Linked DNA regions of Oryctolagus cuniculus. The protein of the gene in region 2 interacts with the protein of the main gene of each other region in a biochemical or structural test. Links are inferred from orthologs where the notes say so. Each region holds a gene or a part of one and is shown on either strand. Other genes may lie near its edges. The genes, in order: VRK1, COIL and ATXN1.

Region 1 (5,340 bases), on a different chromosome or scaffold from region 2:
TAAAAATGTTAACTAACCATGTAGCTACAGTTCAGATAATACCACATGACTTTATGTACTTCGTCGACAACTATGTGCTACACTTGTAATTACTCATCTGCTCAACTGGAGCAAGGAGTGTAACTCTTACGCTTTTTCTTACAAAAATGTTCAAAACAAAATTGAACAGTCACACTGATTCAACACAACTGCCACTTTCTGCATAAAAGAGCACAGCACCCCACACAGGGCCAGCGATGCCCCTGACGGAGGGCACGTCAGTCGCAGTCTCGTCCTGTTGCTTCACTTAAAAATAATCAAATACTAATTTACTCCATAAAACATTTCACAGTAAAATCACGATCTGAAGAACTTTTAGATGAGACCCTTACCTACATTTAAATACTATATATTAATAAGTCAAGTCTTCATAATTAAAACTGAATTTAATATCATATCCACACACATTTCCGGGCAATTACAACTGGTCTTATTAGCACACAAAGCTAATAAATTTGGCTTTCTTTTATTCCATCGCCACATATTACATCTTTAATTCTGGTAACTGTGACACAGGAATGCATGTGTGCACAAAGAGAAACTGAAAGTAAAAATATGGAGATGGATCCGGCACACACATAAAATGTTAGAAGAACAATCCCATCCAAAGCGCATGCCTAAAGGGTGACCAAGCTGAAAAATCTTTCGATAAAATAAAAAATGTAGCCTGTTGTAGTCAACCGCAAACTGATATATATATAAGTGATACAAGTATTTCTGCTTATTACATTGTACAAATCCAGTCTACTTCAATTAACAATGTCCTCCTTGTTCAGGTTCTCAGCTAACAGAGAAACAGCTAGAACAAGAGGGCTAAAAAGAACTGGATAACTGCCTCCGGCGGTTCCCCATCAGCACACAAGCACAGCATCTTCCTTTTGTTCCATCTGCCGGGACTGACTTTGGGAGAGGAGAAGCAAACCCATGAGATGGTCCGAAAACAACGAGAGTCAAAGGAAAAACCAGACATAAAGACAGGTTTGAGAAAGAAGGATGAAATAGAGAACGCTGAAAAATAATTACATAAAGTGCCCAACACATTTAAAATGTGTAAATCTCCCTTTTATACACGAGATCAAGAGAAAAGGCAGACTTCCCGTGAATTCGCAGGCCCAACTGCGAGTGTCAGCTAAAGCCTCCTTTACCAGGCTCACAGGACAGCTGCACGGAATCACAGGTCCCTCTACTCCAGCTAACGGACCCAGACACAGGCAGGGTACTACTAGCATCTTTTCTTTCCTTAGAAAGTAAATTACAAAGAAAATGTAATAAACTTTAAAAAATGCACGCTGGAATTCTAAACACCAAGCGTATACAAATTTAGACAGCTAAGGTATTTCTGTAAACCAATTGATTTGAACAATCAACATGTTAAAGACCAAATTTTCCAAGTAACAGAACACTTACATTTGATGGATTTCTTGAACAAAGGAAATAAAAAAAGTGACAAAGCAGACAGGCAAACATAATTCATTGGTGTACTATATAATTTTAAGCTTCCACTCCCAAATAGCTATTTGAAATTCATTTTGTATCACAAGTACTTCTTCTGAATATTATTTAGGGCAAAATAGCCAACTTGATAAAGTGCCAACAAACTGCATCGAAACGGAGAATGTTAACTAGATAAAAGTGTCAAGAAGAAATATTATTATCACCATATCTACTTCAAAAAGTAAAACTTCTGCGTGGGTTCAAAAGTTCAAAGCGACCATACTTGTTTCCAAACAACACATTTTAAATAGTAGAAATTAAAGATACACAACTACCTGGTCAGGATTCTTGTAGCTCAGGAGGAGATTCGAGGCCTTGATATCTCCATGTACATACTCATGCTCGTGAATATATTCCAGAATATCCAGCTAGGAAAGCATCACACAGGAGAAATTAATGTAATACCTAACGCCAACCAGCAGAGGACCGAGCTCCAACATGCTAGCCTTTATTAAAAAGAATTCTTTGAAAACAAAAATGTAGCTCACATACAATTCTTAAGCTTAGCTGCAAGACAGTTTTCCGAGAAAACCTTCTGGCATTTGCTTCGTATATTTTCTGAAGGTCACTCCCAAAGCGATCCATTATCATAAACCTGTAACTGAAGACAAACAAGAAAAGTCAATGAACAAAATATAACTCAGGAAAATCTACTTTGCAATGACTAATACCCTTTCAGAGTAATTTGTTCCAAGGCAAAGTTTAGTAAGACAGTATTCTAAAGAAATAACCCAAGAGAAATATAAACGTTTGGAACAATTTCCCCCACTAGAAAGCTCAAGCCCAGCCTACTGCTCTGTCCTCTGTCCCCAGAGGGTCTCCGCTCTCTGCTGGTCACTGCACACAAGACCTGAAGATACCGCTCACAGAAAGAACCCAGCAGATCCATCCACAGGAAAGATAAAGCACTCTGAATAAGAATGAAGGCACCGATTTTTCTCATTAAGTTCATTTATTTTTCTGGATATTAGCTTCCTTCCTGTGATGATTTTTCTCTAATTTTTAAAGTACATTCCAGCAGTATCAACATTCTGTTAAAATAAAGACTGCCAAGGGACGCTGCTGACAACAGCTAAATTCAATCAAAATCACTTAAATGGTAAGAAGGCATAGTATGTTTGACATTCAGTGGGTGAGACTGGAGGGAGAACAAACATGCAGGAAAAAAATGAAGACTTTTGGTTCTGCCAAAAACCAGCTACATCACCTTGGTTAAGTCCCACTAACCCCTGAGCCTCCTGTCCATGGGAGTAAAACGACAGTGAAGACCCACCGTTTCCAAAGTCTTTTCGGTGACTGGGTGCTACAGTTCACAAAGTACTGAAAACATCACTGATGAGCAGTGACCCTGTCCACTGAAAACATCACTGATGAGCAGTGACCCTGTCCACTGAAAACATCACTGATGAGCAGTGACCCTGTCCAGGTTTTGCTCTGAGGACTTCCTTTGTCTTCAACAGTTTTCCAGGTTCCAACTTGTCTGGCTAAATCATTCAATAAACCAACAAAAAACAAGAACACACCCAAAATGTATCAAGGTGCCTCTGGTGGGGAGGAGAGGAAGACGTCCTCACCACTACGGACAGCGCTTACGGAACGCCTGGCCCGAGCAGTACCCTGAGCAACGTGACAGAGGAACGTCCAGCACAGGAAAGTAAGTAATGTGTCCTCGAGTATGCAATGAAGCCAAACTTTGGACCACTGAACCACCAATACTTAAGTAAACATCAGTTGGAAAACAAAATTCCCGCTTGTATGCCTTTATAATAAAAATATAGTATGACAAGTGGAATAGAGAAGGAGAGCTGATTAACACTGAGAGCTAACAAGCCAGTGAATGGGCGTTCAGTCTCGCAGTCAAGGCGCCATGTCCCACACTGCAGTATCCGGGTACAACTCCCAGCTCTGGCTCCTGACTCCAGCTTCCTACTAACCCAGACCCTGGGAAGCAGCAGTGGTGGCTCAGTTAATCAGCTTCCTGCCCACCCTTGGGTGAGATCTGCACTGCATCCCTGGCTCCCAGCTTTAGCCCCAGCCCAGCCCTGGCCATTGTGGGAATTTGGGGAGAAAACCAGCAAATGGGAGCCATTTCTCTGCTGTGCGTGTGTGTGTGTGTGTGTGTGTGTGTGTGGGTGGGTCTCCATCTCCCAAGTAAATAAATGACGACATGCCAAATAAAAAAACTCAGGATTCTACCCCATAAAAATGTACAATTATTATATGTAATTACAAATAAAAAATTTTTAAATTCAGAATTTTATCTGATTTTGAACTAGAGGAGATTTGGAGATCATCTTGTCTACACATCTTTTAATAAATAAAATAATGTTTATGGAGGCAAAATGATTTGTCCAAAGTCAGACAATTAATCAGTGGTAAAATGTGTTAATTCATGTAACATTTCCCAATACCTCTAAGATAATAAAGAGAGAACAATAATTTTGATTTCCTGATTTCCTTTGATATCAGGTTTTGAAAGTTTGAGAGATGACATCAGAACCTATGTTGGCCGGCGCCATGGCTCACTAGGCTAATCCTCCGCCTTGTGGCGCCCGCACATTGGGTTCTAGTCCCGGTTGGGGCGCCGGATTCTGTCCCGGTTGCCCCTCTTCCAGGCCAGCTCTCTGCTGTGGCCAGGGAGTGCAGTGGAGGATGGCCCAAGTGCTTGGGCCCTGCACCCCATGGGAGACCAAGAGAAGCACCTGGCTCCTGCCATCAGATCAGCGCGGTACGCCGGCCACAGCAGCCATTGGAAGGTGAACCAACGGCAAAAGGAAGACCTTTCTCTGTCTCTCTCTCTCACTGTCCACTCTGCCTGTCAAAAAAAAAAAAAAAAAAAAAAAAGAACCTATGTTCTTGTTTTCTTCTACATATAAATGACATCTGCAATTTTAATAATAGAGGTAACAAAAATACAACCTCTGCTGACAGCCTGAACGAAGACTAAAACGCAACTGCTTAATCTGATATGGAATCTAATAACACACCACATTAAGTAGACCTTTGCTTTCGTTCGCATAGCACCCACCACTACTCTAAACAACCCCTTAATCTCATATTTCTAAATTATAAACATCAACTGAAGCAGGATCCATGAATTGCATGGAAGCTGTCACCACATGCTAGTCAAAGACGGCTCCACCGCTGAGCAGCCAAACTGAAGTCATCTCTGAACAACCGCTAAAGCAAGACCCGTGAAGTACACATCTTCTGGGGACTTGGATAAAATGACACAAGAAACGGGAAAATATTAAATGAGAATAAAATAATCTGATGATGATAGCTAACATTTTTACTATCTTAACACTGTGTGTATTAATTTAAATGAGTCAGAGACAAGTGAAGATTTCTGATGGGGAGGAAGACAGAAGAGTGATCTTACTTTCTGTTTCTCTACTCTTTATAAAGACTTATAGCCGGCGCCGGCACCCCGGGTTCTAGTCCCGGTTGGGGTGCCGGATTCTGTCCCGGTTGCCCCTCTTCCAGGCCAGCTCTCTGCTGTGGCCCAGGAGTGCAGTGGAGGATGGCCCAAGTGCTTGGGCCCTGCACCCCATGGGAGACCAGGAGAAGCACCTGGCTCCTGCCATCGGATCAGCACGGTGCACCGGCCGCAGCGGCCATTGGAAGGTGAACCAACGGCAAAAGGAAGACCTTTCTCTCTGTCTCTCTCTCACTGTCCACTCTGCCTGTCAAAAAAAAAAAAAAAAAAAGACTTATGAATACTTTTAAGAGCTTCCACTGAAAAAGTAAATCGATGCCTTACACATTGTTTCTGAAGAAGATTTTTTTTTTTTAAAGATTTATTTG
Region 2 (5,340 bases):
AAGTGGTGTTCCTAATTCCTGGAAATAATTCTTTTCTGTTTTCATCAGTTCATATAACTTTTGATGAAAGTACATATTAAAGCAGTTAGAATTTGCCCAACTCCTCTTAGACTGCCAGTGATCTGGCTAAGAGGAGTATAGCACAGAGGGGCACAGATATCGCCAGTCAGCGAGGCCGGCTAAGTGGCAGCCATAGATGTTTCTTTATTGGCTATTTAGAAACCACCACAGGTATGTACAGGCTAAATGTTTAAATTCATTTCTAAAAGACTCACCAGGTAAGGATGAAAGAATTTCTATATCTACTTGCTGGGTCTCTGGATTGTGGCTTAGTATTTTTCCTTCCTTTCAAAAATAAAAGTCCGAGTCAAATATCAACACATATAACATGGTATGTATACTTAAAACCACTGAATTACAGACTGTAAACTGGTAAATTCTTTGTTACATGAATTTTAACTCAATAAAAAATTTAAATAAATCAATGTGCAGGGGAAATTAAGCTGCTGCTCATGAAGCCGACATCCCACATCGGAGCACCAGTTCCAGTCCTGTCTGCTTCATTTCGAATCCAGCTCCCTGCTAATGTGCCTGGGAAAGCAGAGGAAGATGGCCCAAGTGTTAGGGCCCTGGCTGCCATGTGGGAGACCAGGATGGAGCTCTTGGCTTCTGGCTTCAGCCTGGCCCAGCCGTTTGGGGAGTGAGCCAGCAGATCGAAGATCTCTCTCCCTCTCTTAACCCCTCTCTCTGATAAACACTTTGAACACACAAAATTACCCTCAGAAGCAAAATAGATACATTTAAATCACAAATGGCAGACACTGACCTAAAGAACACAAAAGTAAAGATTAGACTAGGTCATCAAAGTGACTGAATAGAAGAAAGAGGAAAAGCATGGGCCAGCATGATTAACTCAGATGAGGTTTGCTCGTGACAACATCAGGGAAGGCCACACATGTCCCAACTGGGCCTCTTTTACAAGTGGTAGTAAGCTGCAAGCAGAAAGTCCCTTTGTCACTGACAGCATTAGAGGTCCCTTCCTCCAGGTCCCCAGCTTTGGGAGCTGGTTTTCAAATGCATCAAGAGGGTGCACTGCCCTGTGCATGTGGGTGGTGGTGAGACAGACCGGCAGCCTTTGGAGGCACCCAGTGAGGCCCACCAGTCAGTTCCTCCTGCTTCTACCCAGCTTTTCTGGGCACAGCCAACAGTGGTGTTTAAAACCAACCAAATGGTGGCCAGGAGTCTGGGAGACTATATCTTTGAGGATAGATCTGACTTCTGGAGATGAGCTTAACGAATAAAGCAGATGATCAAGCTCGATTTCAGCATCTGAGGTCAAAGCAAAAGAGTGGGACCAACTGTAATTCTTAAAATGGTTTTGAATGTGATTTCAAAACTCTCCAAAAAATATTGGGAACTAAAGTAAGCAGACAGCCTGCCAAGGAAATAACTATGGTGACTAGTACCAATTTAATACACAATAAATCATATGATCTAGAACTATAATTGGCAGAGGTTATTAAATTTATCAATTCAATATTCATTGCCATTTCGTCAAATATCACAGAAAATCAGTTATCTATGGTGGGGTAACACAACACCCTGGGCTGTCCAAGATAGTCCAGAACAACTTTCCTTCCAGCATTACTAATTATTACATTAAAAATATAGACTGACAGGCTGGCATTGTGGCATAACGCATTAAGCTGCCACCTGCAACACTAGCATCCCATGTGGGTACTGGTTCAAGACCCGGCTGCTCCACTTCTGATCCAGCTCCCTGTTAATGCACCTGGGAAAGCAGTAGCAGATGACCCAAGTGCTTGGGCCCCTGCATCTATGTGGAAGACCTGGATGAAGCTCCTGGCTCCTGTTGGTGTGACCATTTGGGGAGTGAACCAGTATATAGAAGATTTCTCTCTATCTCTCTCTTTCTCTATGTAATTCTACCTTTCAAATAAATAAAAATAAATCTAAATAAATAAATAAAATTTTTAATGCTTATAATTCTACATATTATACCAAAAAAGAAAGTATACATTTTAACTTTTTAACTGACATATACCAAAAAAGACTTTTTAACTGACATAAAAATTGTACATATTAGGAGTATGTATTTATTTTAGTAAGATTATATCAAAATTTTGTTGGTTGAAAAAAAGGGAAGGAAACATAATCTCACTGTGACAAGCTTTTACTGAACAATGAAAAACTTGTATGACAGAGTCTCATACAGATATAAAGAGAGTAAATTCCAAGGATGACTGTGAACTACATGGTTAAGTGATGATGCAAAGATATCATATTAGACCATAATAATCAGAAGACATTTACAAATACATGAAATAGATGCTTATAATAAAAATAATCTTTTCCAGGTGAGAGCTATTTATTATTTTCATAATATGGTCTTTCAAAATTTAGGCTCATGAGGGAGTGGATTTTCAAATAAGTATGTGTTGAAATTGATTAGGAAAAAAAATCAAGCTCATCAATTTTTATTCTATATTCTTCTCAAGTGCCAGGAAAACAGCATGGACAGAATTCAGCTGTTCAGAAGTTTATAGGTTGATGTTTACATTTTCTACATTACTTTATGACACTGTTCACTCAAAAAATTCTATACTATTCATTTAAGTAGCATTATCTACAATTTTCATTTTATTAATATACTGAAAACTTAATTATTTTTAAATAAACAACTTTACCTTGTAGTCAGAGACATCAGGAGAGTAATTGGATGTTAGTTCCAAAAGCTACAGAAGAAAAAAGTCACAAATACCAAGCTCTTGTACACTTTCACATTCCCACAGCTCCTCCCTCCTACCCGAGAAAATCGTGAAATGTAAAGGTGCCCACACAAGCCAGGGGAACTCTATCATCAACCAGTGAGAAGGGCTCTTATAAATATTATTTAATGTGACTAGACGAGTGAAGTTTGTTTGGAAATGGAGTTAACCATTTTGGTTACAATCACTGCTGTTTTAAAATATACCTTGGGGGGGGGGCTTTTCATCTAACAGCTAAGACACCATTTAAGACAGTCGCATCCCCTTACTGGAATGCCTGGATTTGATGCCTGACTCTGGTTCCTGATTCCAACTTCCTGCCAATGCAGACCCTGAGAGGCACAGTGACAGCTTAGGGACTGAGTTTCCCGCCACCCACATTGGGTTGAGTTCCAGGCTCCCAGCTTTGGCCTGGCCCAGACAATGGGGGCATTTGGGGAGTGAACGAGTAGATGGGAGCTCTCTGTGTCTCTTAAATACATAAAATCTTTAAATAAATAAATAAAATAAAGCATACCTTAAATGCAATCTTTTCTCCAACCTGAGGGGCAGCTGCTAAGAGTGGTAACAGACTATAATCCTTCTTGTGTGTCTCTACTGGATTCTGAAAAACAGCATTAGTCAAGTGACTGGTATTTGTAAAAAAACGTAAACTCATGACATGAACTCCAGATACACTCCATGGGAAAGTGGGGGAGGTAAGCTACAACCAATCATACCTACCTGGATAAAAGTAGATGCGTTTGTTATCATTTCATTTAATTGCTTCTGCTTCTGATAGTCAGCATTTCTGTTTACAACACCAGACACAGCCTGCCCTCGCCCTCGCCCTCTCCCCCGCGCGCCCCGACCTCTGGCTCCCTTCCAAGAAAGAAGGTCCTCTCCTCGACCCCATCCTCTTCCTAGACTGGAGGGGAGAGTCGCAACAGAGGGAGGACCGGGAGCCTGTCTGCCACCGCTTAAGTCAGAATACTTCCAGCTGGCAGCAGGTGGCACCTGTGAGGACAGCCCTGGACCTGGGCAGCCTCTCCCTGGGAAGAGGCCAGCCGTCTTGAAGAGCCCCGAGGCACTCTCGGGAGTGCTCTTAGACAGCAGGCACTGGTCATCCGACTCTGAACTCGAGTCTGAACTAGACGAGGATGTTCTGGTGGTCTTGCCCTGGCTCGGAGTAAGGCTAAAGCCACCTTTTGCAGGCAGTTTGTTTGCAGTCGTATTTTTTGTAGAGGATCCTTCCTTTGCTAACTCAGTGGGAATTTTCTCTGAGGAATTTCTGGCCTCCGAAGTGACATTGCTGAGCCCATCACTGGTGGATTCGTGACAAGACTCCGACTCCGAGGAGGAACTGGGGCTGTCTTTTGAAACAGTGCCTACACCAGCTTTCCTTCTGGCTTTCGCCAGGCTGTTCTTAGCAGGACTTTTTGGAGTACTACAGTTCTGGGCGGTCCACTCTTTTACCACGGGCACTTTGGGAGACTTGGAATTCTTGGTCTGCTTTTTATATTCACATTTCTCTTTTTTCTTTGGTGATTTCCTTTGGGTTTCTTCATCATTGTCATCCATCGTGCCACATGCTGCTTTGTTCTTTCTCTTGTTTTTTTTCCCCACAGCCTGCTCTGTGACTGCTTTTGTGTGCGGAACCAAGGCCTTCTCATTATTACTACTGTTTTCTTGCCTTTTCCAATGCTTCTTTGAATACTTGCAATCTATGTCACTTTCTTCGTTCTCCTCCAACTTAAATGCCCGCTTCTTTGCTTTTCTAGGTAAAAAATGAGTACTATCACCATTCCTGACTACTACAGAATTCTCAGCAACTCCTCTCTCTTCTAATTTAACTCTGTCAAAAGAACAAAAGAGAAAGCTAGAGTGAGCACTGCATAAATACATCCCAAGGACTTAGTTATACACCAAGATGATGCTACAAACTTAGTACCACCAGTCCATGAAAAAATGTTGCATCACTTAACACACAAAGGACGCCTTTTGACAAAATGGCCTAGACAGCATCACTTATGGTCAACTTTCAAATGGTTGGTCTTGTTTGACTACTGACTGCATCCCAAACATCTTCTATGGATCACCTCTCATCTAAACACCACTACAGAGGAGAGTCTGTCACGTCACAGAGTCTGTCACACGATTACATCTCAGACAAGCAACCTGCCCAGAATCCACAGCTGACAAGTAGCAGAAAAGCAATTTAATTCTCAATCTAATTTCAACACTCAACTTTCCACTACATGTATGTTACCAACCCTAAAAGATGATTATCCATTTTTGTTTTTGGAATGTTGAGTTGCCTTTTTATGTTGAGGGGCCAGTGTTGTGGCATAGTGGATAAAGCTGTCACCTCCAGTGCTGGCATCCCATATGGGCACTAGTTCGAGTCCCAACTGCTCCACTACCAATCCAGCTCTCTGCACCCACGTGAGAGACCTGGAAGAAGCTCCTGGCTCCTGGCTTCAGATCGATGCAGCCCCGGCCGTTGCAGCCAACTGGGGAGTGAACCAGCAGATGGAAGACCTCTCTCTCTCTCTCTCTCTGTAACTCTGAC
Region 3 (5,340 bases), on a different chromosome or scaffold from region 2:
TGATCACTGCAACCCACGTGGGAGATCCAGATTGAGTTCTAGGCACCTGGCTTTGGTCTGGCCCATCCCTGACTGTTATGGCCATTTGAGGAGTGAACTAGTAGGTGGAAGATCTACCCACCTGCCTCTCTTACCTCCTCCCTCCTCTCCCTACCTCCCTTTCAAATAAAATGAAAATAAATAATTTTTAAAATAAACAGCCCCGAATGATTATGAAACTTTTCCCCAGATGTGTACACTTGTGTGTAGGCTCATGCTCATACACACACAACAGAAGTGGGCTTCCACACGGATTCTCTCCAGCTGTCCTATCTGAACACATTTATCTGCTTCCAGTAAACCTTGTCATTCAAGAAGTGTGTATTTAACTAAAATGATCAGAGTTGTCAAAGAAGATACAGAAGGTTAAGCAGAAGAGTCACACTCCATGTCCATTCCATGGAAATTTATTACTTTCCACAGTTGTATTAGTATTTAATGGTTTATGAGTAGGTATAATGCAAGTGTATGAAGTTCAGTGGACATTTTCACTATTGTATAGAGCCGATGCTTATTTGGATTTACCCACATAGCTCCCGTTTCCTTGCTCTTCATTTCTCCCTGCATCTACAAACCTCTCTCTAGATTCTTTGTGGGTTTTTTTTTTTTTCCTTCTGAAAGCTTACTCTAGTATTTTCTGTAGAGCAGTTCTGTTGCTGGTGAGTTCCCTTAATTACTGTTTGTCTGAAACGTCTTTATTTTGCCTTCATTCTTGAAGAAGCTTTGTGCTCTGTATAGAATGCTTGATTGGCAACTCTGTTACCTCAGCACTTTAAAGATATTCCATTGTCTTCCGGCTCCCATTATTTTTGTTGACGGAGAGTGTGAATGTAATTGTTACTGATTTGAGGTAATGTCTGTTTGATCTGGAGGCTTTTAAGATTTTTCTTTCCTGTCTCTGGCTTAGAGCAGTTTAACTATAACCTGCTTGGGTGAGGATATTTCCTCACTCTTCTTTCTTGGGGCTAAGTCTTCTTGAGTTTGTGACTTCCCTCTTGTTAGTCTGGGAAAATTCAAGTATTAGTTCTCTTTCCTCCTAGGATTCAAATTGTGCATCTATTAGACCTTCTCAATGTATCTTCTGTCTCTTAGGCTCTCCTCTGAATTAGCCCCCCCCCTTTTTTTGTACCTTTGATTCATTTTTTGTAGTTTCTTCTAAAGCTCTTAATCTAGTTCAGAATCCAATTACAGAACCCAGTTCACTAATTCTTTCTTCAACTGTGTCTATTCAGCTGGAAAATTATCTTGATCTTAGTGAATATAGTGCTTTCATTCTAGAGTGTCCAGAAATATTTTAAAAATAAATTAGACTTGGGGCAGGCATAACGGGTAAAGCCGCTGGCTGCAGTGCCGGCATCCTGTATGGATGCCAGTTCAAGTCCCGGCTGCTCCACTTCCGATCCAGCTCTCTGCTATGGCCTTGGGAAAGCAATGGAAGATGGTCCAAGTTCTTGGTCCCCTGCACCCCCGTGGGAAACCTGGAAGAAGCTCCTGGCTTCAGATTGGCCCAGCTCCAGCCATTGCAGCCATCTGGGGGTGTGAACCAGTAGATGGATAGAAGACCTCTCTCTCTCTTTCTTTCTCTTTCTCTCTCTCTCTCTCTGCCTTTCAAATAAATAAATATATCATTTAAAAAATTAAGATTCTAGTTTTCTCCCCACTCCTCAAGCTTGTGTTTCATCTCCTGAAATATTGTAAGCAGGGTCATTTTTAAGTCTCTGGTGATTACCAGAAGCCCCTGTGGGTCTGTTCTTATGATCAGATGTTTTGTCTTTATTAGTTTTGCTTCTCTCTTGGTCTCCTCATTCTTCCTCCCTTTTCAAAATTGAATGGTAATGTAGTATTTGCAACAGTGTGGAAATAATTCAAGAGCTGAATCCAGTGTTAGAGACTGAGATGATTAAGATTTGACTTCAGACCTTGGAAGGCCTATCCACTTCTGATGCACCCTTACTTTTAAGGCATAGTGTTTGGGATCAGAGGTTAAAAATCGGGGTTCGGGGCCGGTGCTGTGGCACAGTGGGTTAATGTCCTGGCCTGAAGCGCCCGGCATCCCATATAGGCGCCAGTTCTAGTCCCGGTTGCTCCACTTCCAATCCAGCTCTCTGCTGTGGCCTGGGAAAGCAGTGGAGGATGGCCCAAGTGCTTGGGCCCCTGCACCCAAGTTGGAGACCCAGAAGAAGCTCCTGGCTCCTGGCTCCTGGCTTCAGATTGGCGCAGCTCTGGCCATTGTGGGCATCTGGGGAGTGAACCAGTAGATGGAAGACTTTCTCTCTGTCTCTACCTCTCTCTGTAACTCTGTCTTTCAAATAAATAAAATAAATCTTAAAAAAAAAGCGGGGTTCACCAAAGATCACCGTCCCTTGGTGTACCCTGCACTGCATTACACACACACACAAAATGCTATTGAGATTCCCAGAAGCCCACTTAATCTTATAACTGCTCTACTTTGAAATATTCAAAGTTGGCTTGGAACACCACCAGGTTCAAATCTGTGGGCTATCATATCCTTTTCTGGTTTGACACAGTTAAGTTTTTTACTGTCTTATTTCTGTCCAGTGCCTTTAAACAGTGTTTTTTTAATTATTTATTCATTTATTTATTTGCTTGAAAGTTACACAGAGAGAGTGAGAGACAGACAGATCGTCATCTGCTGGTTCACTCCTGAGATGGCTGCAATGGCTGGGGCTGAGCCAGGCTGAAGCCAGGAGCTTCTTCTGGGTCTCCCAAATGGGTGGCAGGGGCCTGAACCCTTGATCCACCCTCCACTGCTTTTTCTAGGCCATTAGCAGGGAGTTGGATCAGAAGTGGAGCAGCTGGGACTCATACTGGCACCAACATGGCATGCTGGCATCAACACCACAACACTGGCCCTGATAAAAATGCTTTTTAACATTTTCTTCAGAATTTTTAATTTTGTTGTTTTTATGGTATTTTTGTTGTTGTTGTTGACAGCTTCCAGTTTTCCTTAGTAGGAAGCTTGTTCCAAAATTGCCTAGTCTAATACATCTCAAACAGCCATTGAAAATTGACTTTTTAAACTACTTCATTGCTCTCTCTCTAAATTTTTTATAATGTTGAATAAATTTAATTTCATGAGAATTAAACTCTTAAAAGCATCGGGTGCCTTTCAGACTTTGGCTATTTTGCAAATACCCATCCCGTACCCTCTCCTTGCCTTTGTTTGTGATACTTAAATGTCTCCTTGTAGCCCCACCTCTGGCATGGAGCAGGATTGGAAGCAGAGCCACCAGCCCACACACTCGTGCTCCTATGAGAGCCCAGCATTGCCACCGGCGGCTGAACCCTGCTGTACCACAATGCTGACCCCCAGCTGACTTGTTTTAACAGAGACCAGGGATAGAGCTAATGCTAAGTGAAGTATTTGGATACTGAATGGACCTTTTCACTGGACCGTTTTCTGCATTGGCTCCTGCCCAGCTTCTCTATGTAGTAAACGCAGATACAACAGGCAGCAAAGGGCCTCATTGTGTTGTGTTGCTAGGGAAGGGAAGTTTGTTAGTGGAGTCTAATTTATTAACATGCAGCCTGTGTGTGTGTGTGTGAGTGGGGGAGGAAGGAAGGAAGGAAGGAAGGAAGGAAGGAAGGAAGGAAGGAAGGAAGGAAGGAAGGAAGGAAGGGAAGGAAGGGAAGGAAGGGAAGGAAGGGAAGGAAGGGAAGGAAGGGAAGGAAGGGAAGGAAGGGAAGGAAGGGAAGGAAGGGAAGGAAGGGAAGGAAGGGAAGGAAGGGAAGGAAGGGAAGGAAGGGAAGGAAGGGAAGGAAGGAAATCATACAGAGCTCTCACTGGTTTCCCTCCTGTCTGCCTCTCTGTCTCTCCCTGTTCCCACAGGTCAGCGTGGAAGTCTTGGTCGAGTATCCTTTTTTTGTGTTTGGACAGGGCTGGTCGTCCTGCTGCCCGGAGAGAACCAGCCAGCTCTTTGATCTGCCGTGTTCCAGACTCTCAGTAGGTGACGTCTGCATCTCGCTCACCCTCAAGAACGCCAAGAATGGCTCTGTTAAAAAGGGCCAGCCCGCAGATGCTGCCAGTGTCCTGCTGAAGCGCTCAAAGACCGACAGCCTGGCGGGCAGCAGACACAGGTACGCCGAGCAGGAGAACGGGCTCAATCAGGGAAGCGCTCAGATGCTGTCTGAGAACGGTGAACTGAAGTTTCCAGAGAAGATGGGCTTGCCCGCAGCACCCTTCTTCACGAAAGTAGAACCCAGCAGGCCCGCGGCCGCGAGGAAGAGGAGGTGGTCGGCGCCGGAGACCCGCAAACTGGAGAAGTCGGAGGACGAGCCGCCTTTGACTCTTCCCAAGCCTTCTCTGATTCCTCAGGAGGTCAAGATTTGCATCGAGGGCCGGTCTAACGTGGGCAAGTAGAGGCAGAGCGGACGAGGCGCCGCGGCCGTCCCGTGCCCTTCCTTCGTATCCAGATTACTGTACTGTAGGCTAAATAACACAGTATTTACATGTTATCCTCTTACTTTAGATTTCTGTTCTAACCTTGTCATTACAGTTACAGCAGGTGTGTCGCAGGAGACTGGTGCATACGCTTTGTCCGCGAGTGTCTGTCGGGGAGTGGCGGGTGGGCCACTGGCAGGCAGGGCAGCAGCCGGCAGGTGCCCGGGCCCGCCGGGGTCCCGAGAGAGGCCAATGGGAAGGGACCTGCAGGGGTAGAGGGGCGTGTGCCTGTGAGGGTGCGTGGGGGCCACAGCGGGCGGGTGAGAGGGTCTCTCGGCCCCTGCCTCCCTCTGTGCTGCCCTCTTGCCTTCAGCGGGGGCTGGGGGTAGGGGGCGGTACAGAGCAGCATCCTCCTGGGGTTCCCACATTCAAAGTCAACATCAGGACCCCAGCTTCAGGGCAGGCGGCAGATGGAAAGGAAAGCTCTCCGTTTCAAAGAACGTTTTTCTCTCCAACACATTTTACAATAAAAGCAACTTTTAATCATATAGAGATATATTTCCCCCTATGGGGCCTTGACTGCACTGATACATATTTCTTTTTTTTAAAGAGCAACTGCCACACGTGGGATTTCATTTCTGCTTTACTAGTGCAGTGATGTCGCCAAGGGTGTCGCTGTGGGCAGGGAGGCCCTGCCCGTATCACCCTTCCCACCCCCAACACAGCTTGCACCATGATGGGGGGCTGGGGCTGGGGTGAGGGAACACCCTCGCTGGTTCTGTGCAGTGCTAGGAGAACCAGTCCGATCCTAGCCTTGTGGCTCCAGAAAGGTAGATGCAGACCACCCAGCAGTGAGAGCACCAGGAGCTCTCGCGCTGAGTTGGCAAAGTCTTTGTGTC

The links.
Region 1: of the proteins of COIL (region 2) and VRK1, one has a biochemical effect on the other in vitro, tested with the Homo sapiens proteins (2 studies listed by BioGRID and IntAct, with this or other methods). The link is inferred for Oryctolagus cuniculus from reciprocal best matches to the Homo sapiens genes COIL and VRK1.
Region 3: the proteins of COIL (region 2) and ATXN1 form a complex in vitro, tested with the Homo sapiens proteins (2 studies listed by BioGRID). The link is inferred for Oryctolagus cuniculus from reciprocal best matches to the Homo sapiens genes COIL and ATXN1.

Annotation. Positions count from the first base shown.
Region 1 is NC_091451.1:41,130,180-41,135,519, reverse strand, and holds part of VRK1 (serine/threonine-protein kinase VRK1), read right to left. Parts: intron 2,135-5,340; coding exon 2,026-2,134; intron 1,902-2,025; coding exon 1,809-1,901; intron 1-1,808. UniProt on the Homo sapiens protein: Serine/threonine kinase involved in the regulation of key cellular processes including the cell cycle, nuclear condensation, transcription regulation, and DNA damage response.
Region 2 is NC_091448.1:32,535,248-32,540,587, forward strand, and holds part of COIL (coilin), read right to left. Parts: intron 4,624-5,340; coding exon 3,513-4,623; intron 3,394-3,512; coding exon 3,307-3,393; intron 2,757-3,306; coding exon 2,709-2,756; intron 346-2,708; coding exon 276-345; intron 1-275. UniProt on the Homo sapiens protein: Component of nuclear coiled bodies, also known as Cajal bodies or CBs, which are involved in the modification and assembly of nucleoplasmic snRNPs.
Region 3 is NC_091436.1:143,605,211-143,610,550, reverse strand, and holds part of ATXN1 (ataxin-1), read left to right. Parts: intron 1-3,889; coding exon 3,890-4,420; 3' UTR 4,421-5,340. UniProt on the Homo sapiens protein: Chromatin-binding factor that repress Notch signaling in the absence of Notch intracellular domain by acting as a CBF1 corepressor. Binds to the HEY promoter and might assist, along with NCOR2, RBPJ-mediated repression. Binds RNA in vitro.